Notamacropus eugenii: one gene and its partner. The protein of the gene in region 1 purifies or fractionates together with the protein of each later gene. This does not show direct contact. Links are inferred from orthologs where the notes say so. Each region holds a gene or a part of one and is shown in the gene's direction. Other genes may lie near its edges.

Region 1 (7,514 bases):
AAGCAGTATCTATCTAAAACCTTCAGCAAGCATTATATGCAATGGGGATAAGCTAGATGCATTCCCAATAAGATCAGGGGTGAAACAAGGTTGTCCATTATCACCACTATTATTCAATATGGTACTAGAAATGTTAGCTGTAGCAATTAGACAAGATAAAGATATTCAAGGAATTAGAATAGCCAAAGAAGAAACTAAGTTATCACTCTTTGCAGATGATATGATGATTTACCTAGAGAATCCCAGAGATTCAAGTAAAAAATTACTTGAATTAATAAACAACTTTGGCAAAGTTGCAGGGTACAAAATAAACCCACACAAATCCTCTGCATTCCTATATATTAGCAACAAAGTTCAACAGCAAGAGATAGAAAGAGAAATCCCATTTAAAGTTAGGGTAGACAGTATAAAATACTTAGGAGTCTACCTGCCAAAACAAACCCAGGGACTATATGAACACAATTACAAGACACTTTTTGCACAAATAAAGTCAGATTTAAGTAAGTGGAAAAAGATTAGTTGCTCATGGGTAGGCCGTGCTAATATAATAAAAATGACAATTCTACCCAAATTAATATACTTATTTAGTGCCATACCAATTAAACTATCAGACAATTACTTTCTAGAGCTGGATAAAATAATATCAAAATTCATTTGGAAAAACAAAAGGTCCAGAATATCAAAGGGACTAATGAAAAGAAATGCTTGGGAAGGTGGCCTAGCACTACCAGACCTTAAACTGTACTATAAAGCAGCAATTATCAAAACCACTTGGTATTGGCTAAGAAACAGAGAGGTAGACAAGTGGAATAGACTTGGCACTGAAGATGCAGTAGGCAAGGAATATAGCAACCTTCTGTTTGATAAACCCAAGGACCCCAGCTTCTGGGATAAGAACTCATTGTTTGACAAAAATTGCTGGGAAAACTGGATAACAGTGTGGCGGAAATTAGGCATAGACCCATACCTGACACCGTACACAAGAATAAAGTCCAAATGGGTACATGATTTAGGTATAAAGATTGATACCATGAATAAACTGGAGAAGCAAGGAATAGTGTATTTATCAGATCTATGGAGAAGGGAAGAATTCTTTACTAAAGGAGAGATAGAATGCATTATGAAATGCAAAATGGATAACTTTGAGTACATTAAACTGAGAAGTTTTTGCACAACCAAACCCAATGCAACCAAAATCCGGAGGGATGTAGTAAATTGGGAAAAAATTTTTACAGCTAAGCTCGGGGATAAAGGCCTCATTTCTAGAATATATAGAGAACTGACCCAAATGTATAATCATACAAGTCATTCCCCAATTGATAAATGGTCAAAGGATATGAACAGGCAATTTTCAGAGGAAGAAATTAAAGCTATCTATAATCATATGAAAAAATGCTCTAAATCACTATTGGTTAGAGAGATGCAAATCAAAACAACTCTGAGGTACCACATCACACCTATAAGATTGGCAAACATGACAGAACAAGAAAATGATAAATGCTGGAGAGGATGTGGGAGAGTTGGAACACTAATTCATTGTTGGTGGAGCTGCGAGCGCATCCAACCATTCTGGAGAGCAATTTGGAACTATGCCCAAAGGGCTACAAAAATGTGCATACCCTTTGACCCAGCAATATCGCTACTAGGACTGTATCCCCAAGAGATCATAAAAATGGGAAAGGGTCCCACATGTACAAAAATATGTATAGCAGCACTCTATGTAGTTGCCAAAAACTGGAAGTCAAGGGGATGTCCATCAATTGGGGAATGGCTGAATAAATTATGGTATATGAATGTAATGGAGTACTATTGTGCCATAAGAAATGATGAACAAGAAGACTTCAGAGAGGCCTGGAAGGACTTATATGACCTGATGCTGAGTGAAAGGAGCAGAACCAGGAGAACTTTATGCACAGCAACAACCACAGTGTGTGAGAGTTTTTTCTGGTAGACTTAGATTTTTGTAATAACACAAGAACTCCTGAAAAAAAAAAAAATCCCAATGGTGGACCTCAAGGCAAAATGCCTTCCACACTCAGAGAGAGAAATATGGAAGTCACTCACATAATGTAGCAGATCATGTTTGTGTATGTGTATCTGTCTGTGTATCATGTTCTGATTTGTTATACGGATTCTCTCATTTATCTTAGTCTGACTACATAGCATGACTATAGTGAAAATATACTCAATAGGAAAGTATATGTAGAATCTATACAGAATTGTATGCAGTCGTGGGGAGGGAGGGAGTTAGTGGGGGGTGGGTGGGGAGGGATAAAATCGCAATTGTATGGCAGTGATTGTTAAACATTAAAAAAATAAAAAAATTATAAAAAAAAAAAAAAGAAAAAAGGAATGGTATTTTAATAGGCAAATAACATTTTAGTAGGGGCAGCTAGGTGGTGCAGTGGATAGAGCACCAGTGTAGGAGTCAGGAGGATCTGAGTTCAAATCTCACCTCAGACACTTGACACTCACTAGCTATGTGACCTTGGGCAAGTCACTTAATCCCAATTGCCTCATCCTGGGTCATCTCTAGTCATCCTGATGAATATCTGGTCACTGAATTTAGATGGCTCTGAAGTGAGGAGAAGGGAGGCTGGTGACGTGCACAGCCCTCCCTCACTTAAAACAAAGTCAAGAGCAAGTCATGTCATTATTTTTCTGATGGCATGGTCTTCTTCCACAACGAAGGATGAACACACACACACAAGATTTTAGTATTTATTATGAAAATGGTTTTGATCTCAAGGACCATCTGAAAGGGTTTAGGGGACCACCAGGGGTTGGTGGACCACATTCTGAAAACCACTCATCTAGTTAATTTGCATGGGTTGGGAAAAAACCCCAACATTTCTCAAATCCATATCATGTAAAAATAAGCAGTGTCTACTCTCCAATAACACAGAGGTATACCAATCATCTGTGATCCCTTGGGTCTCACAGTGTCAAGGTGATTATTCTCAGTAAAAAAGTACATGTCACAAATATATAGAAGTCAGTGCAGAATACTTTGTATAGCAGTCTCTAGGGTTAGGGTACATTGCCTATGAACTAACCCCATGGATACAACCTGTCTGGTAGGATAAACCTTCACAGATAAAGTCTGTGACTATGGAGCAGAGGAAAGAAAGCTACCTGACCAAAAGATAGAATCCATAATTTTGTTGAAAGATATTCTAGCATTATCCATTCAAGAAACTAAGCACATACCTACTATGTACGAGGGACCAGAAGGCATTGTAGCGTGATTTACTTTGATACTGGCTCTATAGTCAGAGAACCTACTTCAAATTCAGTCTTTAATGTTTTAGTACCTATGTCACCTTGGCCATCATCCGTGGGCCTGTGTCCTACTCTATAAAATATAAGAGTTGGACTAGAATCTAGTACTTGGGTACAACCGTTTGAGTGAGTCCAAGTTTTACAAAACAAAGCCTTTTACTAAGGGGATTTGTTCTGTGAAGTTTGGATTCAGCCAAAGGGCTGCAGTTGAAGACCTGGAAGGCCAGCTGTGGCCTTGAGGCCACAGATTCCCCACCCCTGGACTAGATGGTGTCTAAGGATCTTTCCAACTTTAGACTGAAGTAAAGAATACAAAGATAAAATGCATGGTCCATGTCCTTAGGATGTTAAAAATCTAATTGTGGAGACATGAAGTCCATTCCTAAAATGTTTAAATAGTGAAACTTACTTGTAATATTTGTAATTTTCTTTATTTTCTGTGGAGCTCCAAAGACCAGTTTCCCAATTTTGCTTATATTTCAAGTGCCTGAAATATTAATTTCCGCTCAGTCCCTCTCATTCTACAGTTCTGAAAATACAGCCAAGGGAAGTCAACTTATCGATGTGCTGGTGCTCTCAACTCCATTGGCGGCCCCAATGCCAGGAGAGGGTGGGAGCATAGGATCATAGAGTCAGGGACCTTGAAGTAATCATAGCGGCCAACCTCATTTGACCTAGAGGGAAACTGAGGTTCAGAGAAGGCAAGGGACTTGCACAAGGTAGTAATAGAGCCAGTAACAGGCACAGCAGGATGACACCTTCATTAAAGGAAAACCCTAAGTTCTGGAAGAGGGAAAAGGCCGGAGGGCCAGAGGTCCAACATGCCAAGGTCACCAAAGGCCTCGGGAGCCCAGGAGGGCTCTGACCTGTGAAGAAGCCAGTCAGAGTTGTTACCATAGAGCCTGGGTGTCCACTGGCGGAACCAGGCGGGCCCCCGGATCTGTCAAGTCCCGCCACCGCCGCTGCAACTGAACCGGGCAACTGAACTGGAGTGAACAGCCGTACTAAGAAGGAGGAACTGGTAGTCCCAAACTAAAGAAATAGGTACCGAACTATGCCCTGAGAACGCCACCCTAGAACATTACCGCCCCGGGCCAGAGTACTGAAACGTGCACATGCGCGAGGTGGCTCCGCTTCCTCAGCCAATGGTTGCACAGCACTAGGAACAACGCAGCTCTCATTCCCTTTCACTATCCAGTGGCCAATTGGAGGGCAGCGTCTGCGCAGGCGGTTCCATCGGTCCAATGAGAATGCGTCTCTAGGGAGACCCCGCCTGCGAGGTGGGCTGGGATGGAATAGAGTGGCACTTGGAGGCGGACTGTGGTTAACGGGTCAGTAGCTGGGTGAGAAAGCCGAAAAGGGGAGGCGGCGGGTCGGCCGCAGTCGCAGTTGGTCCGGGACTTCCCGTCGTCGTTGTCGTTGTCGTAGTCATGTTACGATGTGGAAGCACCGCCGTGGCTGGGTTGGCGCCTTTGGTACGGACTTTCAGCGTCCGTGGCCCGAAGCAGAGGAGCCGGCTTCCAGGTAAGTTAGTTCCCTGACGCTCCCGTTGCAGTTCTCTACCCCTCCTCTCCCCCCACCCGTCGGACCCTGACCGTGATCCCAGGGAACCCCCTGCACGGCCCGCGTCTCTCCCCCCCTTCCCCCCCCCCCCCCCCCCGCAGGCAAACCCCTTCCGCACGCTCACTCGCGCCTTTTTTGGGAGCGCTCCAAACTCTTGAGGCAGGACTCGCCGGCCTGACCTTCAGAGGCATCACCTTCCACCCCCATCCCCCTAGCTGACAGGCTGCTGGCTAGAATCCCTGCAGCCCAGCCCCTGCAGTCCGGGGTGGCCTTCTGGCTAACACCCCCTCCCAACCCTATGCCTTTCCTTCCCGGGGCTCCAAGCGGGCTTCTGGGGACCCACGTGTGCTAAGTACTACTTAAACCAGCTAGGCCCCGGGGGGAGACTGGAAGATGAATCAGAAAAAAGTTCTAGCTCTAGCCCTTGGAGAGTCTGTCAAGTAGGGGAGATCAGTAAGACTCGACCCCAGAGAATGGATAATAGAGGGCAGAAAGCAGGAAGCTCCAGGACAAAAAAAAAGTGGCGCAAAAAAAGTACTGAGACTTTAAAAGAGAGAGGAATGTTTTCTGATCGGGTGGGAGCTGAGAATACTAAATGGAAGGAGGTGGCATTTTACCTGATTCCCGAAGAGAAGGAATAAAATTTCAACTAGGTAACAGGAAGGGAATTTCAGAAATATTGGACTGTGAAAGTTTGGAAGTCTAATGGAAAAAACCCTGGAACTCTGCCATTTATTATAGATGTGACTTAAGCCATTTAATAATAGTCTTTTCCTCAGTTTCTTCATCTGTAACAGACATATCATCTACTTTACCTATCTTAAAGTCGAGAACATAGATGTGAAAACACTTTCACAATTCAAAAGTCCTGTCTGTGTCAAGTATCATTGAAACAACTGTAAATATAAATCATGAAATAAATACCACAAGAGCTGGGAGGGCAGGCCAAAAGTGAATTGAAAAATAGGGTCTGGTGTGACTTTGTGGTTATCTTTAATGCCAATTTTAGAGTTGTTTTTTAACCAATGCATAAGGTGCCTTCTCAGTATTAGAAAGTAAATAATGTGGTTCAATGGTCTGTTCAGCCTAATATTCTTCTCTGATGCTGGGAAAGTAGGATATTTGCCCTTCATGAAGTTGACCTCAAAAAGTTAACAGTGGTGTCCTATCAGAAGCAGTAGCCTGAGATTTTAAAGACCTAGGTTCTACTCCTGGTTCTGCTACTGATACTAGCTGTGTAACCTTAGGTAAATCATTCTGGGCCTCAGTTTAATCTTTTGGAAAATAAAAGATTTATATTAAATCTATTAAAAGTCCCTTCCAACTCAGAATGCTATAATCAAACACCCCTAAATTCCTGCCTTACTAGTCCATCATGCATATGCCATCCATGAATTTATCAGAACATTTCATGAATTTTACTTACACACACACATACACCCCATGACCTCTTGTGTACCCTGTGACCTCTTCTGGTAGTAAGTTACCAGTTTTTAGGAGATACAATTAATCTTTCTTTTAGAGGTCTTCTTCAGTTCTTGCTAATATCAATAGTGACATGAAAATGTTTGCCTAAGTTTTTGCACCATTTTCCTGGAGCCATTGACTCAAGAGTGCTTCTTGAATGAAGTTTTAGTATCTTGAGTGATCTTACACTTCGAATCTTAACACCTCTGTTGTCAGGAACTTTAAAAACATTGTTTTTTAGGGCAGTTAGGTGGTACAGTGGATAGAACACTAGCTTGGAGTCAGGAGGACAGGAGTTCAAATTTGGTCTCTGACACTCATGTTTATTAACTGTGTGACTGTGACCGAGGGCAAGTCACTTAACCCTGACTTCAGGTGCGGCAATAAAAAAGGATTGTTTTTTGACAGATATCCTGGTTTCCAGACATCTCTGTTGTCTGCACGCCAAAATTATGGTACTATCCATAGGCAAGTTACACAACATTCTTAGACGGAATGTATAACCTTTTTGCCCTTTCGTAACTTTGACCTCCAACTTAAAACATCATTGCTTTGGTCTGTGGAATTGAACATTTCATGGGAAAATGCCTTCTTAATACATACTTATTGCTTATGCTATTATCTTCACTTACTTAGATTTGAAAGCATTTAGTGATGTTAGTGCTGAAAGGAATTGGCTAGTTTTATTTTGCCTTCATTAGTAACTTGTTCAGAGATGGGCTGCTGTATTACTACTTCTGGTTTCTTGACTATTTGCTCCTTCTTCGTAGATTTATATAATTCATAGAATCTCAGAGGTGGAATTGATCTCCAACACCATATAATTTAACTCATACCTAAGAAGACTCCCCTCTAAAACATACCCCATAAATGGCCATCCAACCTTTAAGCCCTCTAGTGAAAGAGAACTTTCCAAGGCAGTTCATCTCACATTTGGACATACCTCTGATAGGAAACTTTTCTTTACATCAAAAAGGAGTCTGCCTCTTTGTAAATAAGTCTGACCCAGCTTTTCACATGGCAGCCTCTCTAATAAATACTTGAAGACAATTCTTCTCCCACCCCAGTCATCTTTTCTCCAAGCTAAACAGCTCCTTCAACTGATCCTTACTTAATAGCATAATCCTCAAGTAGCATGGCCTTTCTTGGTTACCTTCCTCTGCATGAGCTTGAGCTTCTCTGTGACCTTCCTGAAGTGTGGA
Region 2 (7,891 bases), on another chromosome or scaffold:
TGTAGATACCCAGGTTATGACCTTCAGATGATCAAATAGTGGGGAGACTCTTAGGCAAGCCCACACAACACATGGCCAGTGGGCCATTTGCAGCCCACCAAAGGACTTCAGGCAGCACACAAAAAATGTGGGGTCGCCACTGCACATTCTCCTGCTTGTCACCTGTCCTGTGGCAATCAGCCATCACGTCTGTCCCTAGTCTTACTTACCTGCCTGCTGCCTGAAGAAGGTTAGCCTATTTAATTTTGGCCTCCACCTACTGCCAAGTTGTGCAGGTCTGCTCTCGGAAAGGGAAAGCTTTCTTTTCCACGTATAAAAGTCTATTGAGTAACATCATTGAAATGTATATATTTGACACATGTATATCAGCATTTCTGTAATATGATTCAGTGGAAAGTCCTGTGGAGTCAGGAGACCTGGATCCTAGTTCAGTTCTGTCGTTGACTACTTTCATGACTTTGGGCAAGCTACTTCATAGAATTGAGATGGAAGAGACATCTAGTCCAATCTGAATCTGAATAAAAATCCCCTCTGCAACATCCCTGACAAACGGCCATACACCTTCCATTTGAAGATTTCCAGTAATAGCAACACACTACTTATAAAGGTAGCTCATTTAACTTCTTTATCAAGCCAAAATCTGCCTCTACTCATTACACCCAGTTCTGTCCTCTGGGGCCAAGTAGAATATGTCTAATTCCCAATCCAATGACAGTCTTTCAGGTAAGAACAATAATAATATTATTAATTTAACTACTTTAGTAAATTTCATCTTGCTATACTAGACCACAATTCTACCTTACCAAGATCTTTTTGCATTATAATTTTGTCATTCAACATATGAGCTATAACTTCTTGGCTGTATTTGACTTCTTCATCTTCATCCAAGTAATTGGTAAAAATGCTGAACAAAACAGGGCCTAATACAGATCCCTGAAGCACTTCCCTTAGGACTTCCTTTAAGGCTGACACTGAATAATTAACAAGTACTCAACGATCCATCAATCCATCATTCAACCATTTCTCCGTCCACCTAACTACTTAGTCTTCTCAAGGATTCTATCAGAAACTTTACTTCTATGGTCTTCAGTTGTCTGAAAGATAACAATGAAGGTGTTGGGAAATACAATGTATTTGATCAAAATTAGCCTTTCTATTTTATTACTGCACATCTGGCTCTTTGATTTCTTGTTGTTCATCCTTCTAGAAAAGGAACAATGACATCAGAGGGGTGACATCTTAACTTCCTCACCAACTGAATTTAAGTGAGGCAGAGCTGTGCCAAGTCATTAGCATCACTCTCTCCAATCTAATGCTACCAGTCAGGACTACCGGTGATGGTCCCCTTTCACTTCTTAGTGGTTCATGGTTACTCTGGCAGTAGTGGTTAAACCTCTAGACTTGGAGTCAGGAAGACCTGGGCTTGCATCCTCATCCCAAATATTTATTTACTACCTGTGTGACTCTAACAAAGTTATTTAACCTTTCCAGGAGTCAGCAGTCTCATCTGTACAATGAGCATCATCACAGCATCTTCCTTGTTGTGAGGACCACACAGGGAAAATGCACTTAAAATCTTAAAACTCACGATAAATGAGTAACTCCTGTTACTAACAAATACTTATTGAGGGCTTACCCTGCTGAGTCTCAGAATCACAGAATCCTATAGCCCGAAGAAAACTTAGAGACCATCTAGTCCGACTTCATTTTACAAATGAAGAAAATGTGGCCCAAAGAGAAGGCATCATTTCATCAAGGAGACACAGCCACTGAAGAGCTGTTGGCAGAACTTGAACTCAAGTCCAGGCCTTTTAACTTTAAATCCACCACTTTTCCCTTTAAACAAGACTTCTATTCATTGCAAAGTACTCTGTAACAGTGGTATAAAAATCAAGTTGAAGTGGAGTCCATTAAATCATACGTAAGGATCCATGTGGGCCACATGTTGACTTCGTTTTAAAATGTCACATTATCTACGTTTTACGTTATATTTTGTTAAATATTTCCCAACTGCATTTTAGTCTGGTCCAGGCCCCAGCTGTGGGCCATATGTTTGACCTCTCTGCGGTGGAAAACCAACAGAAAACCTCTGGTCCTTATCCTGAATAACATAGGCACACACACAAACGTGAACCAGTATTTTGTAAGTCCTAGGGAAGAGCTACAAACAAAGCGATATGGGCACCGGGGTTGGGGAAAGGTCGCCTCTAGCTTGGAGAACAGAGAAAGGAAAAAGGCTCCCTAGGAGAGGATGCCTGACAAGGTCCAGGGGAGAGCAATTCCGGGGAATAAGTCTCGCGTGGAAGAAGCCAAGACAGCCCGGTGTTCTTGGGCTGAGGGAGTGCGGGGCAGGGGCAGTGGGAGCTGGAGCTGGGGCTGACTGGGCCGGGGGGGCTGGAGCTGGGGCTGACTGGGCCGGAGCTGGGGCTGACTGGGCCGGGGGGGCTGGAGCTGGGGCTGACTGGGCCGGAGCTGGGGCTGACTGGGCCGGGGGGGCTGGAGCTGGGGCTGACTGGGCCGGGGGGGCTAGAGGGCTGGAGCTGGGGCTGACTGGGCCGGGGGGGCTGGAGCTGGGGCTGACTGGGCCGGGGGGGCTGGAGCTGGGGCTGACTGGGCCACAGCTGGGGCTGACTGGGCTGGAGCTGGGGCTGACTGGGCCGGGGGGGCTGGAGCTGGGGCTGACTGGGCCGGGGCGGCTGGAGCTGGGGCTGACTGGGCCGGAGCTGGGGCTGACTGGGCCGGCGGGGCTGGAGCTGGGGCTGACTGGGCCGGGGGGGGGCTGGAGCTGGGGCTGACTGGGCCGGAGCTAGGGCTGACTGGGCCGGAGCTGGGGCTGACTGGGCCGGGGGGCCCTGAATGCCCTGCTGGGGCCAATAAGGGCTCACAGGAGCCCCAGGAGCAGAGCTGTGACACTGCTCTAACCTGTTCTAAAGCTCTCCTTTGCTCCAGACTACCTAGTCTTCTTACAAGGCTGCTGCATGACTCTTCCCTTCTCTTACTTGTGGATAAACACGACCTGTCCCAGCACCGCGGGCCCTGCCCGCACCCTGGTCTCCCGCATCGTTACCGGGGGCGGCCCGGGGCCATCGGCCTCCCCCCGAGCCCTGGGAGGATCTGGCCGCTGAACTGACCGTTTTACCGTCTAACCCGGTGGCTTTACCATTTTAGGTTGCCGGTGGTTTGAGGGGGGCAGCCAACCAGAGCCAGCCACACAAACCACCCCGGGAACAAACAATAGAACTGGCACCTCCGGAAAGTTCGGAGAAGAGGAGCTCGCGGGGATCTCGGTTCGGAGCATGGCCGCCTCGGAGTTCCCACCTAGGCCCCCGGGGCGGGCCCTCAGCCCTCCCTGATCTCGCGGCTCCCCAAACCAGCACCAGGGCCCATCTGCTGCGTCACCAGCAGCGACTTCAAGGAAAATGAGAAGGAGAAAAGGAGGGAAGGAAAAGGAGAAAAAGAAGGCAAGTTCCGGGAGGGCGCGGCCTGCGGTGGGCGGGGGCCCGCCGCGGAGACTTCCTCATCATCGTTACACAGCATTTTGTGCCCGCTTCCCGGGCCCTGGGGACTGGAGACCACGAGGACAAGAAGTCCGAGGGACTGCGTCCGCCCGGCCCACCCCCGCTGGGGCGGAGGCCGGCTTCAGGCCGGGCCAAGCAGCCCATCCCCGAGGCTCGGCTGCCTCCGCGCTCCCGGGCGTTTTCCCCAGGTGGCCCGGAGGCCCGCCTCCGTTTCCACGCCCTCGTAGGCAGCCCCGCCCGCGACCTAGAGCGCTAACCTGTCCTCCGACCGCCGCTCTCCGTCGCCTCCCCCGGAGCCCGGTCCCGGGGCTGCCCATGCCCATGTGCGCTCATTTGTGGTCGGGGGCTGGCCCAGAGCAGGGGGCTCTTCCGGCCCCAAGCCCTAGGACCTCGCTCACAGTCCGCCCTCCGCCTCGTCCCTTTCTCCCTCCCTCTGCCCTCCAGGGCTGGCCCAGGGGACACGTGGGCCGGCTGGAGCAGAGGGTGTTTTCCACGAAATGGCTTTTACTCATAGTGTAATTAAATTTCGGACGGCTCGATGGGTTCGTTTTGCAAACTCTAGTCAACTTTTCCTACTCCTCTCCAAGTGATCCTCGAGGGCAATGGGACGATTAGGAAATCAAATCCGAAAAGGGACGGCACCAGGCCGAGGGTGAAGCGCCAGGGCGGCCTGGGCCCGGGCCCGCGCCGTTGCCAGGGCGGGGGGCGGGGAAAGAGAAGCGATAGGGGCGGTGCTCTGCGGGGCCGGCGCTCTGCGGGGCCGGCCCCGGAGACGTGACGCGAGCGACGTGGCGCGAGCCCAGGGCGCCGAAGGAGGGAAGGGGGAGGGCGTTCCAGGAAGGGGAGCGCCCGGGCGAGCAAGGCCTCCTTCCTCCCTCCCCTCCAGCCCTCCTCTCCCTCCCCGGGCGGCCGTCGCCTGGGCTCTTCTCCGCCCACGGTATAAAGGGCCCTTGAGGCGGAGCCTCCGCTACTTTCTTGCATTTCCCGCAGAAAGAAGCATCGCCCAAGAAGCCTCCGTCTTCCAAGTCACCCGGACCTAGCAAGTTCAAGTCACCCGCACCCAAGTTTCTCGGACTCTTCAGAGCAGGCAACTCCAAAGCCAAGTCCCCGTCTCCCGCCCGGGCCTCCCTGACCAGCGCGTCGGCGCGGTCTCCGCCTCCGCCTCGGCCTCCGCCCCCGGCGCCGCCCAAGCATCTTCCTCCTCCCTCGCCTCCTGCGCAGCCCGCTCCCCCTAAGCCACCCTCGCCTCCGGAGCCTGTCGAGAAACCTGCTCCACCCGAGCCGCCCGCTCCACCCGAGCCGCCCGCGCCGCCCGAGCCGCCCGCGCCGCCCGAGCCGCCCGCTCCACCCGAGCCGCCCGAGCCGCCCGCGCCTCCGGAGCCTGCTCAGCCGCCGGCTCCGCCAGCGCCTCCCGAGAAGCCCGCTCCGCCCGAGCCGCCAGTGCCTCCCGAGCCACCCGAGCCTCCCGAGCCGCCCGAGAAGCCCACTCTCCCCGAGCCCTCTGCGCCTCCAGAGCCGCCAGCGCCTCCCGAGCCATCCCCTCCTCCCGAGCCGTCCGCACCACCAGAGCAGCCCGCTCTTCCCGAGCTCCCTGCGCCTCCCGAGCAGCCCGAGCCGCCCGAGCCGTCGGAGAAGATGGTGAAGCAGATCGAGAGCAAGGTAAGAAGTCGCGGTGCCCCCGAGCTGGGAAGGCGGGAGCGGAGGAGAGCCCCGATCCCCATCCCCAGCCCCGCCTAGGGCCATGTGTGCCCTAGTCCGGCGCCCTGGGGAGCTGCAGGCCCGGGGCTTAGCCCGGAGATTGGCACTTCGTGGGTGTTTGTTGCTTGGCTTTGGTCCTTGCCCTCCCCCTGGCCTCCAGTCCTCGGAGCCCGCCCGGGGGTGGTCATTTCCCTGCGGCCCGGGCTGCGGCCCTGCTGCCGTGACGGAACGTCTGGGCGGGCCTTGGCGCCCCCGAGGGCGGCGTTCCTGCCTTGGGGGCATTTTGGCCACCCCCTCCCCTCCCCCCGGGTTCCTGCCGCTTTGCGCTGCTGTGGTTGTCCCTGGCCCGGGGTCTGCGATGAAGAACTGCCCTGGTTCCCCTGATGGGGGTGACCCCAGGGCAGGAGCCAGCCGTGCCCGGGGCCGTCGGGACGTCCGGCTGGCTGCGCCCTGAGGCCGGTGCGCAGAAGGGGGAGGCCATGACTCGGCTGGCAGGGGCACCTGACGGCTGGGCGCTTCCTTGCCTTGCCCTGTAGGGTTTCAGGATATTCAGGGCAGCGATTCCCTTGCCCTCTGTTGGCAGTATTCGTTTCCTGACACCCATCACAGTGTGAGATTTGTTTCCTTTCTGTTAATTTAATTCAGTTCCATAGACGTGTTAATGAAAAAGATTTTTGGACGTTTTGGGAGAATATGCAGACAACTTTGAGATCATCAATGACGCTGGGTCAGATATCCCCAAAATGGAGCCTCTTGCTTCAATACAGGGGTAGTCACTGAGGAAAGGCAGGAGAGAAGACAGTTCGATTCAACAAGTATTCAAGGGTTTCTTATGAACCAAGTGGGAAACAACATAAAGCTTTTTGCTCCAAAAGCTTGCAGTTCAATAGGGGTAATAAAATATGATAAGAATGTGATACTAGCTTAGGAGTGAAATAGGACACCAGAGAAAATGCCGTGTAAGATTTGAATAGGAGAGATCACTTCCAGCTAGGGAAGGAAGGGGGGTCAGAGGAGGTTTGTGGAAGAGGTGGCTTCAGAGATGGGCCTTAGAGGAACCGAGAAGATTCAGACAAGCAGACAGACAGTGGAGGGAGTGCATTCCAGGCCTGGAGGGTGCAGGAGGAAATAGGAGCAGATAGAGAATAGTTAGTAAGAGTTTCTCTTAAATACAAGGATTGAAGGAGAATACAGTGATAAAAGGCTAGAAATATGGGATACAACAAAATTAGAGAGCTTTGTTTAAAAAAATGCCAAGTGTTTATCATATTCTCTGGACGGTGGAGAGACAAAAGTCAACTTTTGTATGAATACCTCCTTCACTTTTGGAAAAGGTAACCTAAACCTGCCGTTCTCATCCTGAATGACTGTCATCCCCCTTTAAGAGATCCTTCTGATATACTGGAGTCGTTCCTCTTTTACAATATTTTGTGCAGTACTCCGGAAATTTATATCTGTCTATTGCTAAAGTGCAACCTGCATTTTTGGCTCATATCTAATGTTGTATCCATAGATGTTTAACCACAACACTTTTAAGTGTATTCCGCATTATTTAAAAAAAATTACATTAACATGTAAAGACAATTTTTCACTGTAATGTGCATTATTAACATCTCCTTCAAACCAGTCCCTCCCTTGCAGCACTTAATTGATTAAGGTGAAAATACGCTGAAATTTTTTTTTAAAAATTAGCTCTCTTGAGCCTGTATGAGCTGGTTCTAGCACAGACAAACAGCCAACACATACCTGGTCATGATGTTCTGTTGTATGCCATTTGATGGCAGGACATCAGTTATAATGTTCTATGGCCTAATTGCACTTAACTCACATCTCTACTGCTCTTAGATCACCTGTAATTTTTATTCTGAGATTATGTTTTTCACTTAGTCATAGCCACATATACCAAGAGAATGATGTTTTTTTAACAAGCCAGTTATGACCTTTGAGAGACCTCTGCAATTGTTCAGGCACGATCCAGCCTGTTTTCTTCTTATGTAATTCTAGGTCCAGTTCATTGTCTTTAGCACTTGCCAAGTATAGACACACACACACACACACACACACACACACACACACACACACACTTTTTTTTCCTGTGCTAATGCTTAGTCAGATCTTATGCATAATAAGGGCTTTCACTAATGAGCCCTAGTAGTATTTTGGAAGGGACATTCATTAAGCACCTACTGTATACCCGTTGGGGCAGCTATATGATGCAGTAGATACAGTGCTAGACCTGGAGTCAGGAAATTCCTCAGATTTGGTCTCAGACACTTGCTAGCTATGTGACCCTTAGCAAATCATTTAATCTTGATTGCCTCAGTTACAGCATCTGTAAAATGAGCTGGAGAAGGAAATAGCAAACTACTCCAGTATTTTTTTTAAAAAGTAAATTATTTTCCCCTCAATTATATATAAAGACAATTTTTAATATTGATTTTTAAAAAACAACTGAGTTCCAAATTTTCTCCCTCACTTCCCTTCCCCCCCAAGAAAAGCAATTTGATATAGGTTATACATGGTCAATCATGCAAAACATATTACCAAATCAATCATGTTGTCATAGACCCAAAGGGAAAAAAAATGACCAAAAAAATACTGTATGTGAAAAATAGTACGCTTTGATCTGCATTCAGACCCCATCAGTTCTCTCTGGAGGTAGATAGCATTTTCCT

The links.
Region 2: the proteins of AIFM1 (region 1) and TXN purify together in Homo sapiens (affinity purification with mass spectrometry; 3 studies listed by BioGRID and IntAct, with this or other methods). This does not show direct contact. The link is inferred for Notamacropus eugenii from reciprocal best matches to the Homo sapiens genes AIFM1 and TXN.

The regions. Positions count from the first base shown.
Region 1 is NC_092879.1:51,898,678-51,906,191, reverse strand, and holds the start of AIFM1 (apoptosis-inducing factor 1, mitochondrial), read left to right. Parts: upstream 1-4,499; 5' UTR 4,500-4,712; coding exon 4,713-4,806; intron 4,807-7,514. UniProt on the Homo sapiens protein: Functions both as NADH oxidoreductase and as regulator of apoptosis.
Region 2 is NC_092872.1:98,089,353-98,097,243, forward strand, and holds the start of TXN (thioredoxin), read left to right. Parts: upstream 1-4,881; 5' UTR 4,882-5,153; coding exon 5,154-5,177; intron 5,178-7,891. Other genes in the region: uncharacterized protein, read right to left, coding at 2,162-2,795, 3,000-3,061. UniProt on the Homo sapiens protein: Participates in various redox reactions through the reversible oxidation of its active center dithiol to a disulfide and catalyzes dithiol-disulfide exchange reactions.